Kluyveromyces lactis: one gene and its partners. The protein of the gene in region 2 purifies or fractionates together with the protein of the main gene of each other region. This does not show direct contact. Links are inferred from orthologs where the notes say so. Each region holds a gene or a part of one and is shown on either strand. Other genes may lie near its edges.

Region 1 (3,830 bases), on a different chromosome or scaffold from region 2:
CTTTGTCTCCGACTTTTGAACTAGAGTATCGGACGCTGGCCGCAAATCCATGGCAAACAATGGGGTACCGGTGTACTCCTTGTAAGAAAAACTGCTGTCACCATCCATCAACCCTAAAAACGTTATTGTGAACCCGGATTCAACTAACCATCCTCTCTCGGTATCCATGACAGATCTTATCTTGTTTAGTAAGCCTGGCCATTCCGAGTAGTTAGGACAACCTTGATGTCCTAACATTAATAAATTGGTACCAGACTTGTCACTAGTCTCAGTTGCGAATGCTGCCCCATTGATAAACGGTACAAACTGAGTACTTCCATGTTCGAACGCTTGCTTGATGAAAACCTCGTCGTCCCTTAGGAATGACACTCTATTGATAGTTTCCAATCCGAAAAAGGTTACACTTCTTTCCATATGTACTGCGCTATCAGGCTAACCACACTATACGGGTACTAAATTGATCGAACTCCAAGTACAACAACCTCTCCAGCGATCAAAACGACAATGCGACTAGGTTGTGCACTGAATATACACGTATAAATCCAACTGTTCCCGGTCATTATGTGGATGTGACTGCAAACCATGCTTTGGAAATTACCCTACCATATATCACGTGATCATAAGTTTCTACTATCCCCTTCGTAGAAAAAAGAAACACTATTATTTTTTGTACCAAAAATTGAAATTGAAATCAACTTAACCACAATTAATCACCATGTTTGATATTTCATTGGTGGAGTTAGAGCATTAGACGGAGAATTTAGTGGGCCATTTGGTGTCATAACACAGGTTAACTGATACGGAAACTCAGATATCAAAGTATAGTTTCAAAACGTCCATCTTTCCCCAACTATATACTTAGGAATTTGACCTTTTTTTTGGTCTCTGTTTTGGTTTATTTTTTTTTTTTTTTCATTTCAGAACTTCAGGTTTAGTTGCAGAATTTCCCTCTCAATTTTGTGAAGTTGAGAAGCAATAAAGCAACAAGCAACTGACATATCTCACTGTACGTTTGTTTCCAGTTGAGTTTGATTATAGGATAAAAATATCTTACTTGATATTTCTGGTATTTGAGCTTGTACATGAGAACGTGGATATAAAGACTTATTTTGAGGTTCTGCGGTATATATACTTTCATTTGATTAGAAATATTGAAGGTAAGACGTGAACAGGAGAAGACAGACATAAGGAACGAAAAAGAAAGATGGATTTAAGAGTTGGTAGAAAGTTCAGGATTGGGCGGAAGATTGGCTCTGGTTCCTTTGGGGACATTTATCATGGGACTAATTTGATTAGTGGTGAAGAAGTCGCTATTAAGTTGGAGCCGATTCGTACGAAGCATCCTCAATTAGACTATGAGTCTCGAGTTTATAAGTATTTGAGCGGCGGTATTGGAATACCATTCATCAGATGGTTTGGGAAGGAAGGTGAATACAATGCTATGGTGATCGATCTTTTGGGTCCGTCTTTGGAAGATTTATTTAACTATTGTCATAGGAAATTTTCTTTTAAGACCGTAATCATGCTTGCTCTGCAGATGATCTGTCGAATCCAATACATTCATGGCAGATCTTTCATTCATAGAGATATTAAACCGGACAATTTCTTGATGGGTGTCGGAAGACGTGGATCCACCGTGCATGTTATTGATTTTGGTTTATCCAAGAAGTATAGAGATTTTAGAAGTCATAACCATATCCCATACCGAGAAAATAAGAACCTTACTGGTACTGCACGTTATGCCAGTGTCAATACGCATCTTGGGATCGAACAAAGTAGACGTGACGATTTGGAGAGTTTGGGTTACGTGTTGATATATTTCTGCAAAGGGTCCTTACCATGGCAGGGGCTCAGAGCCACGACAAAAAGACAAAAATACGACCGTATCATGGAAAAGAAATTGTGCATCACCGTCGAACAACTATGTCAAGGTTTACCTATGGAATTTGTTGAATACATGAGATATTGTAGGAACCTCAGATTCGATGAAAGACCAGATTATATGTATTTGGCTCGTTTGTTCAAGGATTTGTTCATCAAGTTGGAATACCATAATGATCATTTGTTTGATTGGACCATGTTGCGTTACACAAAAGCCATGATCGACAAACAAGGAGGCGCCCAAGCATTGGAACAAAAAGATGAAAATGGTAATAAACAGGATTCATTTGATAAAGTGAAACAATTGGCTATGAAGAAATTTTCAACACATTTCCACTATTGGAAACCAGATGATACTTCTCATCCAACTGCTGAAGACATAAAACAACAGACTATCCTAAACACCCAAGTTATCTCCACGATCCCAGATGAAGTCATGAATGCTATCGACAGAAACATGGAACAGTTGAAGCACGAAGTGAACCAACAGGTGGCGTCTCAACCACAACAAGGACAACCACAAGGACAAACTCAGGGACAAGGACAAACTCAGGGACAAGGACAACCACAATCAGGTCAGCAACTAGATACACAGTTACCTCAACCTACCACGTTACTACAACAGCAAAGGGCACAAGTTCAAGGTCAACAAGAACAGATGTTACAACAGCAACAACAACAACAACAACAACAGCAGCAACAACAGCAGCAACAACAGCTTCTGCAACAGCAACTGCAAACACAACAACAAACGCATCCAAATGCAATGGCTATCACCAACCCACTACCAAACCCTAATAACACCACCAAAACTACCACTACCAATAATATCTGGCTTTAAACGCAAAAGACGAAAACAATGCGCAAACAGTTGCAAAATCTGTAGAGTAGAAAAAATCACACACGCTCATACATATATACAACTCATCATCAGTTAATCATGGGCTTCTAACCCACATTGGTTATAAATTATAACTCGGAAATCTGTTACCTAATTCACACTTATATTTCTTTCTTATATGTACTTGAATAGTGGAACATGGGGGAGAACACACACAGGGATTTTCTCACCAACATGAGCAACCATGAAAGTAAGCTGGTTACTGAATCGGCAGCTGACACAGGTTTACGGTACTCGCAGTTCACAGCTCATTGTTGCTGCTGCTGAAGTTTCCCTCCTCATCCTTGGCAAGGCCATTATCGCAATATACGAATTCCACTACTAAATATCGAAAAAGGGTTTCTGTTCCTCACATGAACAGTGAATTGTGAAAAACTAGACCAAAGGAAAACTAACAACAAAAGGAGAGTCAACTGTGGTGAGAAAAAGAGAGCAATCTAGGGCGCATTGAGTCTTGAAAAAGTGCAATATCCATATAAGACTATCAGTCCAAAGCTATAATTAAGGCAAAAACTGGTTTGTCCCATTTTGTACTGTTTATTCATTAGAGTAAACTAGGGGATTTTGACCCCAAGGGAAAAGGAAAACAAGAGGATGGAATATCAGCCTGTGAATTTACAACAGATGAATACTGCTCCAGCTCCTGCAACCAATCCTGTGAATCCGGCGGATGTGACCGTGGGTTCACAATCTACCGATTATTTATTGGCTCAGCAGAAGGAATCGTTGTTGCCTCAAAGGTCTACTGTGTCTAAGGGGAAATATACGTTGCATGATTTTCAAATCATGCGTACATTGGGAACAGGGTCATTCGGTAGAGTGCATCTCGTGAGGAGTGTGCACAATGGACGTTACTATGCCATCAAAGTTTTGAAAAAACATCAAATCATTCGAATGAAGCAAATTGAGCATACGAATGATGAAAGACGGATGTTAAAGCTGGTTGAACATCCTTTCTTAATTCGGATGTGGGGTACGTTCCAGGATTCTCGTAATCTATTCATGGTTATGGATTATATCGAAGGTGGTGAATTGTTCTCGTTGCTCA
Region 2 (5,935 bases):
GAACAATTTTTTTTGTCTTGCTTTCCCAAGTTGAGGCTGACATACATCTATATCTGAATTTTTTCCACCAAAGTTGCTAACTTTTCAACACTAGCCAAATGCCTGTTACCCAAAGTGTTATTTTTATTGGATTTATCCAAATAGGATCTGATGGAAATAACAATCAACCTCTCATCTTCACCAGTTGCGACACCCACGAGCTTTTGAACAACGTAGTTCGCGTATTGATCCCGCATCATTAGAATCAATGGTGCATTATCTTCCAAATCAGCGGCGTGCTCTTCGTCTCTTGGTAGAATTTGATCCAAAATCTGTCTTATCTGGTTTTTGGATCCGTAAACTACTGACTTTTCAACAACATTGGAGGCAAATTTGTGTTTTGAATATTCAACAACATTCTTACGAATGATATCGATGATATTTTGTTTACTCATTCCTATGTGACTGCTCGTATCTTCAGTTCCATGCTGTAAAATATGCTGAATTACGTAGTTACCGTATTGATCCTGGATCAAGAATGGGATGAATTCATCCAAGTCATTCAAAATATCATCTTGGTCCTTTAGAGTTCCAAATTCCAATAGTCTTTGAACTACACGGCAACCGTAAGAATGCGTTGATAAATGATAGATTTGTCCTCTTAAACTTTGGAGAATAAATGGTAATTTTTCAATCGGAATACACTCGATGGCTTTTTGTATAACATGGTTACCATTCTGGTCTTTGATCATAGCTAAAACACAATGGGAAAGTTCAGATACGAGATCAACCTTTTGATCTTCATTTAGGAATTCAAATGCCTTTTGTATAACACGGCAAGCATACATTTCTAACGACAAGTTCTCCATTTTGCCTCTGAATTGATCCACTAATACCTCCCTTTGTGTTTTTGTACCATGTTCAAAGAATTTTTGAATGACATAGTTACCGAACACGTCATGAGATAATGGTATACATTGGTCTCTAATCTCATTGAAGATTACTTCCTTATCAGCATCAGAAGCTGTTGCCAATTCCTGTTGGATAAATCTGGAACCATGTTGATCTTTACAGAACTCTAAAGCGGAGCCGTAAATATCGCTAAGTTTGTAAACTTTATTGGAAGAATTGTTCCTGAATTCCTCCAATAATGGGGATCTAACGATAGGCTGTTTGTTATTCTGGCGAGCATTTTTACCTTGGCGACCCTGTTTGTTTGCACCTGAACCTGAAGAACTTTGCAAAGTGTTTGGGGGCACTGCCATACCTGCCCTACTTGGTGGCGGAGAGAATTGTGAATATTGAGCCTTACCTGCGTGCAGGTATGGATTTGATTTATTTTTGCCAGAGTATTTAGAATCGTTATTTCTCTTGTTAGAACCGGAACCATTGTCTGCGGATGGAGGGGAGCTTGGAGCGTCTTGTAAGTTACCTGGACGTGGTTGCATAGATGGAGGCATGAACATGTAAGGATTTGGTGGCAAGAAAGTAGGGCTCAAAGGAGGTTTAACAGTTTCACTATCCTTATTATTTTCTGTGTCATCTTCTTTGATTGGAGCATACATGAAAGGATATGGACTGGGGAATGGATAAGGAGCCATTGGATGTGGCATCATCGTTGGATGATTACCTGTTTCACCTGATGTCTCTGATAATTCGGACTCGTGTTGGTTCTTTCTAGAAGCGGAAGCCTCTTTGGTAACACCATCAGTAGTCTCGACATCTTGACTGTTATCGTTGGATCCATTCATACCTGGGAATGGTTGTGGTGGTGGAGACAGCACAGGAGGTAAAAACATGGGCATTCCAAATTGATTAAACCCAGGATAACCATAGTTGAAAGGAGCTGCCTGCTGATTAGCAAACGAGGCAGGGTCATTTGGATCAATGTCCTGGTCACTTGGAAAAGGAGCAGTTTTGCCGTCCTTAGAACGACGGTAAGAGAATTGAGGCTGGAATTGAGGCTGACGTTGATGCAGTGGAGATTGCTGCTGCTGCTGTTGTTGTTGGTAGTGGTATTGTTGTTGCATGTGTTCGGCATTCTGAGGTCTGAATACGGGTGCAGCAGCCACGTTCCAAATGGTAGTAGAATTAGGCTCATTATTTTGCATCGATAAACTTTCACTAACGGAGTCCAACACTTCAGAGGTATCCGACATTCTTCTTGCACCATGCAGCGTCGTATTAGATCCGACTCTCGATAAATGCTCCAAGCCTGTGGTTGCAGATGCTCTTCTCGAGCCAGTACCAGCGTGATTCGAACTCGAAGGAGGCCCACCAACGTTAACACTACCCACACCCACATTCAATTCCACTTCACGAGTACCCTCAGCTAAGGCACGACCAAACCTTTCGAAAAATCCAGATGTAACTGAACTATTATTGACACCGATCGAATTAGAATTAGTCACGCTTCCGTTGTAACTGTTCAAGTTCGGATTATTATTATTTTGGAATTGAGCTGTCAGACCACCAGCGATACTGGCAGAGTAATGGTTCATGGCATTCAATCTATTCTGAGCGTGGGACGAAGAGTTCTCAGGCAGAGACATCCCGCCTACAGACAGAGTAGTTCTCCTCAACATGGGAGAATTCTGTGTATTGAAAAAGATCTCTGAGTCCACATCGCTTCCCGTATTACTATTGAAAGAGGCCCTTCTGAACCCACCAATCTGTTGCTGCTGCTGCGCCTGTACTTGCTGCTGTTGAACCTGCTGCTGTGCTTGTTGCTGTACATTCGGATTTGACAGTGCCGAAAGCGACGAGACTATTGATGCTAATTCAGAATCAATCTGGGTATTATTATCCTTATCGTCAGAAACAGCGGTATTCCAGCCGTTCAGTTGCTCTGAAAGTGACATCTTAACAAGATTTGAGTACTCTAAACCACTGACAACTAACTTGGGAACCGCAAATACCAATATAAAGTAAAAATGCGAAGATCAACGACAATGTAGTATTAACAAAAATTGAGGAACGACAAAGGGAACTCTGGTCCCAAGAAACAAAACAAAGAAAAATGGGGGAAAAAAAAAGTGATACACTAAATGCAGTTCACCCAAGCCTAAGGTACCTGGAGAGTAAAGCTGTAACAAAGGACAAACTCAGAAAAGACTATATATGCCGCGAACTGGAGTGTCCTTTACTCCAGAGTACTTTAATATCCAATGGATAGTTTCAATATCCATAAAAACGTAAATTAAACAAAATATGAAAAGTTCAAAATGTTGATAATCGATAATTCCAGGTTTTCTCATGAAAAGACAATGAAAGCCAGAAGACGAATCCCTCGACGGTTATGTTCCGTTCTTGCAGGGCATAGTTCGACAGGGGAACCAGTTCGGAAAAACCAGAAAAATTAAATCATGTCCGGGTAGTAGTTTTTAAAAGGTCGCCCGTTCGAGTCCCCTATGTTCTCGAATTTTAGTAAAAAAAAAGTATAAATTTATAGGAGTTTCATGATAGGCATTATTTCGAGAACCCGGTCTAGATTGAGACCAAAAGAAATGAAACTAAAAGGAAGGTAAAGGGAAACGAAAAGAAAGAGGAATAACATGTCAGTTCTTCTCCATGTATTCTAGGTCATTAGTTAAGCCTTTTTTTATTTCCTTTTTATGGCTGAGTAGACTGAACTGGACTGGACCGGCTACAAAATGGGAACGCGGAGGAGGGTAACATGGCAGTGCGTGTCCCACGCACTTGCAAACTCACCCAAACTGATCCCTGAGTCCATCCATACTATCTGTCCCTCCACATTTTTGTTTCGGAAAAGATCGGCCAGAGATCTTGTTTCTTGTCCTAGGAGAATAAGAAGAAAAAAGACCAATATTCTGGCCTGGCTAGAATATGATGGGTGTACGACACGTTCTTATTGTTACGAGTAGCGTATTATGAATTAAGTAATAAGAGAAGACGGTGAATGGAACAAACTGAATACATGCCGTGTTCTTGTTCGAAGAATATCCGAGTGAACCGTGATTGTATAATAGAGACGGCCGGAAACATGTGTAGTATCTGTGAATGAGATTTTTGAAATTTTCGGTTAATTCGAAATTTGAAATTTGATGTGATATCAATTCCATATGCTTTATATAACAAGATGAATTTATATATTCCGCAGTATGAGCTGGTTTGAAAGGGAAACTACTACTGCAAGACATATCACAAGTTTCAATACTATTCCATACCATACCAAACGTCCTTTTTCAAGACTAGGATATTCACCGTTAAACTATACACATTTCCGTCTACTGAATCCAGATCCTTTTTCTTTTTTTTCCATTTTAGTTTGAGCTAAATTATACTTCGTCTTTGGGTATATATTACAAGAGACAAGAACACCATCACATTCCTTTCTATTTGTATTAGTTAACTCCTTCACCCTGTTATTGCCAGGCTCAGTTTCGCTCTTTTTTTCATTCAGGTAGCTCCGATACATCATGTCAAAGTCTGAAGATTTTATTATGGAATATACCTCGGAAAATGTCACTGGAGTTGACAACGAGTTCAGTCTCAGTTCCGAAGATGAATACGTCGCGCTAACAAGACTTGCACGGTTCATCAAATCAGCAAATCAGAAACTAGAGAAATTGGAGTCCGTGCTTCCTTCAACTTCTGTCGCTACGACGACAAGTTTGCCCAGACAAGGGTTTAACAAGTTAAGACAAAGAGGCCGTAAATTTTTGAGATGGAACAACAAGCCTGTCGAGGCTGAGAAAGAGGTTTCATATCAAGATTTCATCAACAATCCAGACGCACCAGCGTTTTATAGGTTTTTGAAACGTACCACGGAAGAGTTAACAGCTGTTTTGCCTGAGAATGACACTGAAACTATGATTGCTGAAGAGTTCGAAAGAAGTTTGAACAGGTCTTCAATCACTTCTCCGTTGTTAAAATTCTCACAGATTTACGATGATCATTTCACTTCGTTTGCTTCTAGCTCTACGACTCTTCACTCCTCGACAAAGGATTCTACCAGATCATCATCACAAACTTCATCGAAAATGCCTCGGTTTGACGATAGCATAAGTCATAGTGCTCTTTCGTCTTCACACTCTAACAGTTCAGATGATAACTGTCAAGACAACTCTCGCTACGATTCACATAACGTCTCCTCGTTCTCAATCAACAAATTAAAGCTGGACCGTAGTGAAATGTGTGAACTGGAAACTATCGACGATAAATGCGTCGACATTGATACCCAACAAGTGATCCAAACGCTAGATTTCCTCGACGAACATCTCGACTTGTTCATTGAAGATCCTCACTCAATTAAGAAAACAATACAGTTCTATAACTGGGATAACGCATGCGATCTAGGTCGCCAAAGGCATTTGCATTTCTACGAATTACCATTCCCATGGAGAGAAAACAGGTACATCATCCACGGTTACCGATTTTATGATTCTCATGTAAAATCTGTATTATCGGTCGTCAACTGGTATGGCTGGCATAATGAAACACTAAACATTTGGTCCCATTTGTTCGGTGCAGTTTATTTAGCATACCTTTTGTTCATCCAGTTACCAACCACTAAAGTATTCATGTCCCAAGATGTACCTTTATTTGGTAAACTCATAATCCAAGTTTTTTTGATTGCAGGTGTAAAGTGTTTACTATCATCCTCTGTATGGCATACGCTTAATGGGACTTGCTGTCTACCACTGAGATGTAAATTCGCATGTATTGATTACACTGGCATCACGGTGTTGATCACGGCTTCCATTCTATCGACAGAGTTTGTGTCAGTTTATAACCTTGCTACCCAATCATTATCCACCTCAATGACGGTATATATGTCACTGTCGCTTTGCTTAGGTATTTTCGGCTCCTTCATGAACTGGTCCCCCAGATTCGATAGACCTGAATCCAGGCCGTTCAGGATTGCCTTCTATGTTCTATTAGCTGGTCTAGGTATGATCTCGTTTCTCCATCTCACGATTAGTCGTGGTATTGA
Region 3 (3,618 bases), on a different chromosome or scaffold from region 2:
ATCACAAGGTATACGCGTTGAAACGCGTGTCTTTCGATGAATTTGATGAGTCCAGTATTGATGGCTTCAAAGGGGAAATAGAGCTTCTAAAGAAACTAGAAAACAAGCAGCGAGTTGTTAAGTTAATTGACTATCATATGGGACAAGGTGTCTTATTTCTCCTAATGGAATGTGGTGAACATGATCTATCCCAAGTATTGACTCAGAGATCCAAAATACCATTTGATACGGAATTTGTCAGATATCACTTTCAAGAAATGATAAAATGTGTGAAGGTGGTTCACGATGCTGATATTGTCCATTCTGATTTGAAACCCGCAAATTTTGTTTTCGTCAAGGGAATGTTAAAGATAATTGATTTTGGGATTGCGAATGCGGTTCCCGATCACACTGTAAATATTTATCGAGACAACCAGATCGGAACTCCCAATTATATGGCTCCCGAGACTTTGGTTGCAATGAACTTCACAAGGAATGATGGTGAACAAGCCAAATGGAAAGTGGGTAAACCATCAGATGTTTGGTCCTGTGGATGTATCCTCTACCAAATGGTGTACGGAAAACCGCCTTATGGTACGTTCCAGGGAAACAATAGGTTATATGCGATCATGAATCCTGATGTTAAGATTCCTTATCCTGAAAAAGACTCTTTCGGTACAGTGATACCAAGAACTGTTATTGACACTATAAGATCATGTTTGGAAAGAAATCCCATATCTCGTGTTACAATTGACCAGCTATTAAGTGGTGCATTAATTAATCCTGTCACCGTAACAAAATTCTTCATACATGATTTGATAAAAAATGCAGTAAACTATGGTTGCGATCAAAAACATGTCAATAATGAGCGTGTGGAAGAATTATCTGAAGATGTTTGGAACAAACTAGCTGAATTTAAATTATAGATTAATCTATTGCACTGAGGGCAGTACTGGGATAAAGCACTTCTGACATGCCGTCTTTATGGCTTTTTTTCCTGCATTGAATAAAGAAGCAACATATGAATGCTGTGCTCCCATAAGAAGCCAGCAAATGAACCTATGGGTGCATTAATAAGTTTACCTACGTAATACAAATGTACTATTATATAAGAGTTTTAATCATTCATTTATCTTGGTCCAAACTTTGACATTGCAGCAGGACCTATTTCATGCCATTCTTGCTTCGATAACCACATGTGGTCTTTATCGGCCATAATGTTCGCTAAGACGGCACCACCAATGAACACCATATGCTTTCTTCTTGGTGGGTCCTCAATTCTGACCTTGAATTTATCCAAACGTGTGGGATCATTGCGTAGAACCCTTGTAAACCATAGTTGTTTTAGTTCTTTTTCCAACCTTGAAGGTAAACCTGGGTACATGGATGAACCACCAGACAAGACGATAGCTTTATAAAGTGATGTTCTGATATCCACATCTGCTGCTTGTATTGTGTTGAATAAAAGTTCACCCACACCTGGTTGTTCGACATCAACTAAACTTGGTTGGAATAAACACTCTGGTGCCTCGAATCTTTCCGGTCCAACCTTGATGACTCTCCCATCGGGTAATTCATAAGATTCCACTAGAGTAGTCGTCTCTCTTGCTAATTTTGTGTCCAAGTCTAGATCATAAGATACATAACAAAGCTTTTCTTTAATTTGACGAACAGTTTCGAAATCGGCAGTTCTGTTGAATGCATAACCGCGGCGAGACAAAAGGTCAATTAAGTGTCTGGTTACATCTCTCCCAGCAACGTCTAACCTTCTTGTCAAATGATTCAAAACAACGGATTCATAAACAGGAACAATGTGAGTAACACCATCACCGGAATCAACAACGACACCCGACGACAAACCTTGAGCATATAGAGCTAGAACGGCTTGAATTGCAACGTATGTGCCACCAAAATCATACTTCTCGAACATAACTTCACACATTTGTTCTCTGTTTTTAATGGGGTTCATTGGTGGTTCGGTAAGTAGTACCTTACCGCCGGATGTAGTTGGCAATTTCATCTGCTCAAAGAAAGCATAATCCCATAGTAATTCCATATCTGCCCAGTTTCTGATGATACCATTTTCCATTGGGTACGAAATCTGTAAATATGAACGAACTTCACTTGCTTCATCACCAATCATGATATCTTTCAATGGGGTAGAAGCATGACCTCTTTCTTCAGCTCTAAGAATCGGTCTACCTACGATGGATGGGAAGGTGTAATCTGGGAAGTTCTCACCAGCACGGCCAATTTTCACGAAACCAGTACCCTGATCAAGAACAATTGGAGTATGTGGGTCCATTTTCGCTTTATTAATGGGTTGAAGATGCTCACAAATGTCCGTTTGATTTAATTACCCCAGTTCCACTATTAAATCTGATGAAATAAACCTTTATTTCCTCTCTTTCTTTAAGAACATCTCCTATTTCCCAATGTTGTTGATGTCGTTTTTCACGTAAATCATGTGATCATGTTTGTCCATATAGAATTTATCCAGGAGGTATAAAGCTATTGGCACGTCACAAGATAGCCGCTAAATCGTTGGATTTACATGTAAAGCATGTTTTCATATGGTTCAAATGAATCTTATAGTTTGCTTGGATATGTGTTATATGATCTTTTTTATTTCATTGATGAATATGTATAAATTGTGACGGTTTGTGTCAACTTAAATAGATTTTGTGAAGTGATGATTCTTAATAATGTCATGTCAGTACCTAGGTGAGGGCGTTAGTTCTTTTAATCACTTTCGTACGTGTATTCTTTACTGCCGTCCTTTTTTCGTTTTACACTATATTGTGCATTTGCTCCAGTTTCTCCGACGTCTGTAATGAAGCAACATTTCGAAAATGGGCTGAGAGCACGTACATAGATGACCATCGGGGATAACTTAGAATCATCAATGTAGTCACCAGTGAACATCAACAATTCGTCCCCTGGGTTTGCCTTTGTAACGATGTAAACCAATGCAACTGGTTTACGGACTCCCTCAGAACCCATGTTCAATAGCATAAATGAAAAAGCTTGGATGTTTTCGTTATTTCTGACGCTGGAAACAAAAGAGTACGAGTTTGTTACTAACTCCATGTGTCCTGGAACATAAGCTGTATCACTTCCTAAAACTATGGATTTGATGTTGTGTTCGTTTTTATAGAAACTCTCATCTAATCTCGATTTCACAAAGGAAAGAAATCTGTCTGCGTTGGGAAATTCTCCCGATTGAAACTTATCTGTAAATGCTTGAGAGAGCTTGAAGGGGAATCCGCTGAAGTCCTTTAGCTGGGTAAATGACTTGAATTTTGGGACCATTTGCTTCATTATCAATTCTCTCCTTGTGGTGGATGAAAGCTTCATCTTAGTTTGATTGAAAGCATGATCCAAAAGCTGCATAAGTTTCCTGGTTCTAAAAGCTTTGAATTGATACCACCCTATTCCAAATATCACCATCGGGAAAAGCAAAGCAAGTAAGAAAGGCAAAACAAATACTATCATTGTTATGAATCCAGCGAACAGTAACGTGGAAAGAATAAAGGAAAAAGGGCTGATTGAAAAGATAAATCTGGGATTGTTAAAGGGACTTTTTCTGAAAGGATCCCGTCCACCAAGTACCATGTTTCTCGGCGTAGAATGGAAATT

The links.
Region 1: the proteins of PUF3 (region 2) and HRR25 purify together in Saccharomyces cerevisiae (affinity purification with mass spectrometry; 4 studies listed by BioGRID, with this or other methods). This does not show direct contact. The link is inferred for Kluyveromyces lactis from reciprocal best matches to the Saccharomyces cerevisiae genes PUF3 and HRR25.
Region 3: the proteins of PUF3 (region 2) and ARP2 purify together in Saccharomyces cerevisiae (affinity purification with western blotting; 3 studies listed by BioGRID, with this or other methods). This does not show direct contact. The link is inferred for Kluyveromyces lactis from reciprocal best matches to the Saccharomyces cerevisiae genes PUF3 and ARP2.

The regions. Positions count from the first base shown.
Region 1 is NC_006040.1:264,557-268,386, forward strand, and holds HRR25 (serine/threonine protein kinase HRR25), read left to right. Parts: upstream 1-1,204; coding exon 1,205-2,722; downstream 2,723-3,830. Other genes in the region: NPY1 (NAD(+) diphosphatase), read right to left, coding at 1-414; cAMP-dependent protein kinase catalytic subunit TPK2, read left to right, coding at 3,377-3,830. UniProt on the Saccharomyces cerevisiae protein: Protein kinase which phosphorylates serine and threonine residues. Can use casein as a substrate. Phosphorylates elongator complex member ELP1/IKI3 on 'Ser-1198' and 'Ser-1202' which promotes the tRNA modification function of the complex.
Region 2 is NC_006042.1:1,429,076-1,435,010, forward strand, and holds PUF3 (mRNA-binding protein PUF3), read right to left. Parts: upstream 2,841-5,935; coding exon 48-2,840; downstream 1-47. Other genes in the region: IZH3 (Izh3p), read left to right, coding at 4,419-5,935. UniProt on the Saccharomyces cerevisiae protein: RNA-binding protein involved in post-transcriptional regulation. Negatively regulates expression of COX17 by binding to the 3'-UTR of COX17 mRNA. Promotes decay of COX17 mRNA by enhancing its rate of deadenylation and subsequent turnover.
Region 3 is NC_006039.1:350,664-354,281, forward strand, and holds ARP2 (actin-related protein 2), read right to left. Parts: upstream 2,285-3,618; coding exon 1,109-2,284; downstream 1-1,108. Other genes in the region: serine/threonine/tyrosine protein kinase MPS1, read left to right, coding at 1-905; MRX9 (Mrx9p), read right to left, coding at 2,722-3,618. UniProt on the Saccharomyces cerevisiae protein: Functions as ATP-binding component of the Arp2/3 complex which is involved in regulation of actin polymerization and together with an activating nucleation-promoting factor (NPF) mediates the formation of branched actin networks.